Linked DNA regions of Macaca fascicularis. The protein of the gene in region 1 binds, or shares a complex with, the protein of each later gene. Links are inferred from orthologs where the notes say so. Each region holds a gene or a part of one and is shown on either strand. Other genes may lie near its edges.

What was found.
Region 2: the proteins of EIF2B5 (region 1) and EIF2B4 are in contact, whole or in part, in a cryo-EM structure (PDB 7D46), measured with the Homo sapiens proteins. The link is inferred for Macaca fascicularis from reciprocal best matches to the Homo sapiens genes EIF2B5 and EIF2B4. Residues at the interface, in NP_003898.2 of Homo sapiens: Arg163, Lys294, Arg339, His340, Glu357; in NP_001029288.1 of Homo sapiens: Arg357, Tyr393, Pro396, Glu397, Lys466, Arg467, Glu469.

What each region holds. Positions count from the first base shown.
Region 1 is NC_088376.1:96,059,866-96,063,518, forward strand, and holds part of EIF2B5 (translation initiation factor eIF2B subunit epsilon), read left to right. Parts: intron 1-1,049; coding exon 1,050-1,195; intron 1,196-1,419; coding exon 1,420-1,561; exon of another isoform or gene 1,562-1,577; intron 1,578-1,682; coding exon 1,683-1,784; intron 1,785-1,861; exon of another isoform or gene 1,862-1,957; coding exon 1,958-2,065; exon of another isoform or gene 2,066-2,232; coding exon 2,233-2,323; exon of another isoform or gene 2,324-2,619; coding exon 2,620-2,743; exon of another isoform or gene 2,744-3,302; coding exon 3,303-3,428; exon of another isoform or gene 3,429-3,488; intron 3,489-3,653. UniProt on the Homo sapiens protein: Acts as a component of the translation initiation factor 2B (eIF2B) complex, which catalyzes the exchange of GDP for GTP on eukaryotic initiation factor 2 (eIF2) gamma subunit.
Region 2 is NC_088387.1:94,851,389-94,854,690, forward strand, and holds the end of EIF2B4 (translation initiation factor eIF2B subunit delta), read left to right. Parts: intron 1-33; coding exon 34-161; intron 162-310; coding exon 311-488; intron 489-2,187; coding exon 2,188-2,368; intron 2,369-2,485; coding exon 2,486-2,685; 3' UTR 2,686-2,733; downstream 2,734-3,302. UniProt on the Homo sapiens protein: Acts as a component of the translation initiation factor 2B (eIF2B) complex, which catalyzes the exchange of GDP for GTP on eukaryotic initiation factor 2 (eIF2) gamma subunit.

The DNA.
Region 1 (3,653 bases):
AAGGAGGAAACAGGGATTTGAAAACAGTGATACCTTAATTTGTGGCCTGTGAGCCTCTCATTGGATGACTCTTCACATTCCAGGGTACCCTATAGTCACATTCAGGAGCAAGCAGATAATTAACATGCAGTAACAACATCTATTTAGCACATTACAGTTTACAAAGGGCTTTTATATACATTGTTTCATTAATCCTCATAATTTACAAATAAACAGGCTCAACAAGATTTTCTTGCCCAAGGTCATTGGCAATAATGGTGGGACCTGAATCTGGGTTTTCTGATTGTAAGTCCAGTGTTCTTTTTAGTCTACCATAACTGCCTGGTTGGCCTCTTGGTAACTCATTTTGGTTGCAGTAATGTGATGCTTCTAATAGTACTTCCCCTTTCCAAGAACAACAGTAAGGCTCAGATTCTAGGGGCTGAGTGTGGTGGCTCATGCTTATAATCCCAGCCATGGTGGGAAGATCGCTTGAGCCCAGGAGTTCAAGACCAGCCTGGGCAACATGGCGACACCCCTTCTCTGCAAATGATACAAAAATTAGCCAGGCGTGATGGCACGTGCCTGTAGTCTCAGCTCTCCGGGAGGCTGAGGCAGGAGGATTACCTGAGCCCAGAGGTCGAGGGTGCAGTGAGTCATGATCATACTACTGCACTCCAACCTGGGTGACAGAGTGAGACCATGTCTCAAAAGAAAAAAAAGACTTGGATTCTAAAATGTACCAGAAGAGGTGGAATTATTTGGTTCTGCTTGTAGACATAGATATGATTCTAATAAGGTTTTTTAGTTCAGAGGGTCCCCAGAAATCCTGAAGGTTCTCGGGTTCTTAAGCACTGTATATAGTCTATAACTGTTGTAAACTTGATGAAGTATCTTCTCTTCTCAGGCTTGGGCTTAGAGGGTGAGTGGGTGTTTCTGGTGACTTGTGGGATGGGGAATGAGAGTTAGGTGGGAGCTGTGCTGGTGTCAGTCAGCCCTGTCCTTTATGAAGGGCTCTGCTCTGCAGTTGGTACCCTTAGTGACCCAGAGGCCTTCCCATCCTGAGCCAGGTGATAACGTGGTGCTGGACCAGACCTACCTGTGGCAGGGTGTTCGAGTGGCTACTGGAGCACAGATCCATCAGTCTCTGCTTTGTGACAATGCTGAGGTCAAGGAACGAGTGACACTGAAACCACGCTGTGTCCTCACTTCCCAGGTAAGACCTGATGTGTACTGTGCACGGGCCCCAAATTGAGTGGCAGTCACATTGAGCCAGAAGGGACATTATTTCCACCCATAATCCTGTCTGAGTTGAGAGAACAAATCCGGTGGTTTCATTTACCGTCTAGGCTTAGTTTAAAAAAAAAGAAAAAAGTTGCTCTCATTATCAGGATGCGCTTTTCCTCCACACACTAATGGTTCTGTGTTTTTTTCCCCTAGGTGGTTGTGGGCCCAAATATCATGCTGCCTGAGGGCTCGGTAATCTCTTTGCACCCTCCAGATGCAGAGGAAGATGAAGATGATGGGGAGTTCAGTGATGATTCTGGGACTGACCAAGAAAAGGAGAAAGTGAAGATGAAAGGTGTGAGATTCGACAGGTGTGGGGCATCTGTGTGTCTCGCTGCCTCATAGAAGAACCAGTGTTTCCTCCTGGAGGGATTAGTGTTTCCGCTGGGCCCTCTATAGATCATTGCCTTTTCCAGGTTACAATCCAGCAGAAGTAGGAGTTGCTGGCAAGGGCTACCTCTGGAAAGCTGCAGGCATGAACATAGAGGAAGAGGAGGAACTGCAGCAGAATCTGTGGGGTGAGCTAGGCCTGATGCCTGCCCTCCTACTGAATCGGAATATTTTGAAGGATAATGAATACTTCAGAGTCGCATTACTTATTCACTCCTTTATTTATGCAGACAGGGCAGGTATATTGCTCTCTGTCTATGGCTCTTTTTTTTCTTTTTCCTCACCCATTATGGCTTCTCAGGACTCAAGATCAACATGGAAGAAGAGAGTGAAAGTGAAAGTGAGCAAAGTATGGATTCTGAGGAGCCGGACAGCCGGGGAGGCTCCCCTCAGATGGATGACATCAAAGGTGAGTGGCCAGGGGAGAAATGCGCTGGACTGGTTTATTCTCTGCCTGGATCAACTAGCCAGAGGCTTGTGTTCCTCAGAAAGGGTTTGGTATCAAGTCAAGACTGGATGACTTAGAGCATTTTGGAATGATGTTGGCCCATGAACTTACTCTTGCTTTGATTCCAGTGTTCCAGAATGAAGTTCTAGGAACACTACAGCGGGGCAAAGAGGAGAACATTTCTTGTGACAATCTCGTCCTGGAAATCAATTCTCTCAAGTAAGAGCAGCCCCTCCCTGTTCTCCTCGGGGTGATCCCAGGAAAGTAGAGGCTTTCTCGTAAGCGTTTCTTCTCCAAATAGGAATGTATTCCTTTGAAATCCCAAATGGAAAGACCAGTAGTATTTGGAGCAAGGAGAGCACTATTAAGTTCTAGCCTCAGCATAGACTTTCTCCTTCCTAAACCCTCCCCTTCCATATTCCATCCAAATTCCTCTTCAATGTCTGTCAGTGTCATAGTTCTAAGCCTGCTGAAAGGCCAGTGAAGGCCCTGGTGTCACCCCAGTCTCCCCACAGGTATGCCTATAACATAAGTCTAAAGGAGGTGATGCAGGTACTGAGCCACGTGGTCCTGGAGTTCCCCCTGCAACAGATGGATTCCCCACTTGACTCAAGCCGCTACTGTGCCCTGCTGCTTCCTGTGAGCAAAAATCGGAGCTGAGTACAAGGGATTGGGTAGAGGCAGATACACATCCTTGCTGTACTTGACTTTAAAGGAAATCAGGAGTAGACTAGCCTGTTATATTGGGTATATGACTTCTGGTTCCTTTCTCCTTGCCTCTGGAAGCTGGTTGGGCTCTAGAGCAGCCTTGGCTGGTTCAGAGGGGTCAGGTTGAGTTCAATACTGACTGGCCTTTGAGACTCCAGGATTCATACCATCCTAGGCCCCCAAAGGTATACTCAGAATGGACCTTTACATTCAGACTCTATGGCAGCAATTTGACCCAACACAAGATCAGCCTCTGGGGTGGGAATAGGTATTTTGAGGCAGCCTATAGCATCTGATCCCCTTTCACCTTCCCTAAGGAATCTGTTTTTCCCAAACCCTGTCAACAACTCCCAAGTCCCTCCGACATAATTCCACAGAACCTGTATCATCTCCCTCTTGTCCACCCATGTCATCAATATGGATTTGCTTGGATGTCCAGGTACAGGTGAATGCTCAGGAATATATTGCAGCTCCCTTCTTTCTTCCATAGCTGCTCAAGGCCTGGAGCCCTGTTTTTAGGAACTACATAAAGCGTGCAGCCGACCACTTGGAAGCGTTAGCAGCCATTGAGGACTTCTTCCTAGAGCATGAAGCTCTTGGTATTTCCATGGCCAAGGTGAATATGACCTCAAGCCCCATTCTTCTGCACTTGCTTTCAAATGAGGGTTTGTGACCACTGTGGGAGACATAAAATAGAAGCTAATGTGAATCCAGTATGGACCATCCACTCCCCCAATATCATGCTTATTGCTAGAATAGTACAGCTTGGAGCCGGGCTAGTAAGGTAGCCATCTGGGAGGTGGTCTGGAAATGTGCAAAGCTCTCCTCAGCAATAGTTCCA
Region 2 (3,302 bases), on another chromosome or scaffold:
TTTCTTGTTCACTAAGGATTTTGCTCCATTTAGGCCAAGTCAGAACTTCAAGCAGCCATTGACCGGTATGTGAAAGAGAAGATTGTGCTTGCAGCTCAGGCAATTTCACGCTTTGCTTACCAGAAGATCAGTAATGGAGATGTGATCCTGGTATATGGATGGTATGGTCCAGACCCTGTGACTGAGCAAACTGGGGAGTTGGAATGATCTGAAGAAGGGACTACCCATTTGCCTTTGGGAATAAGTTGGGAATAAGTTAGTCATCAGTTACTGACATTTATAACTGAATCCTCCTCTTCATTCCCTCTAGCTCATCTCTGGTATCACGAATTCTTCAGGAGGCTTGGACAGAGGGCCGGCGATTTCGGGTGGTAGTGGTGGACAGCCGGCCACGGCTGGAAGGAAGGCACACGCTACATTCTCTAGTCCGTGCTGGTGTCCCAGCCTCCTACCTGCTGATTCCTGCAGCCTCCTATGTGCTCCCAGAGGTGAGTACAGAGGAAAAGGACTCCAAAGTTGGAGGTAAAAAAGTGTAGTAGTATAGATGTAATCTCACCTTCTCAAAGTTAGTTTTGTTTTTGTTTTGAGATAAGGATGGAGTGCAGTGGCGTGATCACAGCTCACTGCAGTCTTGACCTCCTGGGCTCAGGTGATCTTCCCACCTGCGCCTCTGAGTAGCTGGGACTACTGGTGTGCACCACCACGCCCAGCTAGTTTTTATTCTTCTTGTAGGGATGGGATATTGCTATGTTGCCCAGGCTGGAACTCCTGGGCTCAAGCAATTCCCCTGTCTCGGCCTCCCAAAGTACTGGGATTATAGGCATGAGCCACTGTGCCCAGCCACAATTATTTAAAAGTATTAGAATTATATAGTCCTGGCTTGGCGCCATGGCTCACGCCTGCAATCTCAGCACTTTGGGGGTCCAACGCAGGAGGATCACTTGAGCCCAGGAGTTCAAGACCAGCCTGCTCAACATAATGAGACCCTGTCTCCACACACACATACACACACAAACATACAAAATTAGCTGGGCATGGTGCATGCGCATGTAGTTCCAGCTACTTAGGAGGCTGAGATGGGAGGATTGCTTGAGCCCGGGAACTGCAGTGAGCTGTGATTGCACCACTGCACTCCAGCCTGGGCGACAGAGTGAAACCCTGTGTCAAGACAAAAAATTACATAGCCCTGTTTATATTTAATTGGAAAAACACTGACAGTATGTTACAGCAGTCTAGCTATTGCAAAAACATTACATTAAACTAGCAACCAGGAAGAGGGAACAAGACAAAAGTAACTTCAAAGTTTAGTTTTCCTGTGGGAGATTTGATGGGTCAGTGGTCAGGTGTTTTTACAGAGGAAGAGCCATCATTAAGATGTTTTCACAGAAGAAAAGCCATGATTAAGATTTATTACTTGCCAGGCCCAGTGGGTCACGCCTGTAATCCTATCTCTTTGGGAGTCCGAGGCAGGCAAATCATCTGAGGCTGGGAGTTTGAGACCAGCCTGACCAACGTGGAGAAACCCCGTCTCTACTGAAAAAACAAAAAATCAGCTGGGAGTGGTGGTGTGTGCCTGTAATCCCAGCTACTGTGGAGGCTGAGGCAGGAGAATCACTTGAACCCAGGAGGCGGAGGTTGTGGTGAGCCGAGATCGTGCCACTGCACTCCAGCCTGGGCAACAAGAGTGAAACTTGGTCTCAAAAAACAAAAAGATTTATTACTTGTCTCTTTGTTTTTGTTTCCTTCCCTTCTTTTCACAGGTGTTGAGATTTTTTTTTTTTTTTTTTTTTTGTGATGGCATCTTGCTCTGTCGCCCAGGCTGGAGTGCAGTGGCGCGATCTCGGCTCACTGCAAGCTCCGCCTCCCGGGTTTATGCCATTCTCCCACCTCAGCCTCCCGAGTAACTGGGACTACAGGCGCCTGCCACCTCGCCCAGCTAGTTTTTTGTATTTTTTTAGTAGAGACGGGGTTTCACCGTGTTAGCCAGGATGGTCTCGATCTCCTGACCTCGTGATCCACCGTCTCAGTCTCCCAAAGTGCTGGGATTACAGGCTTGAGCCACCGCGCCCGGCCATGTTGAGATTTATTACTTGTCTTAATGTTGCTGTCCTGTAAGTAGGGGACTTTATTCTGCATTGATACAACAATGACATTTTTTCTCTTCCCCTTCTCCTGTGAAACAAACAGGTTTCCAAGGTGCTATTGGGAGCTCATGCACTCTTGGCCAACGGGTCTGTGATGTCACGGGTAGGGACAGCACAGTTAGCCCTGGTGGCTCGAGCCCATAATGTACCAGTGCTGGTTTGCTGTGAAACATACAAGTTCTGTGAGCGTGTGCAGACTGATGCCTTTGTCTCTAATGAGCTAGGTAAGTAGGGCAAAAGAGAAGCCTCCAGCTACCTGTGAAGACTTGAGAGTGAGAGAGGGGCAGATAAACTAGAAATTCTTTTCTAAAAGAACGTAATGGGTACACCTTCCATTGCAGATGACCCTGATGATCTGCAGTGTAAACGGGGAGAACATGTCGCACTGGCTAACTGGCAGAACCACGCGTCCCTACGGTTGTTGAATCTAGTCTATGATGTGACTCCCCCAGAGCTTGTGGATCTGGTGATCACAGAGCTGGGGATGATCCCTTGCAGTTCTGTACCTGTTGTTCTACGAGTCAAGAGCAGTGACCAGTGAGGGGGAAAACACAGGGTTAATAAATGCCATAGTCCCTACCTTCAGCAACTCTGCTGCCTTTGTTTCTCTTTTAGCATCTCCACCTCTTAAGTTAGGAGTCCAGACTCCACAACCCCTTTTATCACCTGCTACTAACCTCAGACCTTTGTGAAGACCTGCTCAGGTAACTAGCTCCATGCCAGTGCATTGGGGCTAACCTGAAGGTCCGTATAAAGAACCAAAACTACCCAAATCAATCATTCACTGAGCATCTACATGCCAGATAGTAAACTAGGTATGAGGAGGAATATGAGAACAAATAGTCCTGGGCTGGGTGCAGTGACTCATTCCTGTAATCTCAGCATTTTGGGAGGCTAAGGCAGGGGGATTGTTTGAACCCAGAGGTTTGAGACCAGCCTGGGCAACATAGCAATCCTGTCTCTGCAAAAAATAAAAATTAGCTGGGCATGGTTGTGCTCATCTGTTGTCCCAGCTACTCAGGAGGCTGAAGCAGGAGGATTGCTTGAGCCCAAGAGGTAGAGGCTGCAGTAAGCCATGATCGTACCACTGAACTCCAGCCTGGGTGACAGAGTGAGACCCTGTCTCAAAAGAGTCCTGGCCGGGCGCGGTGGCTCAAG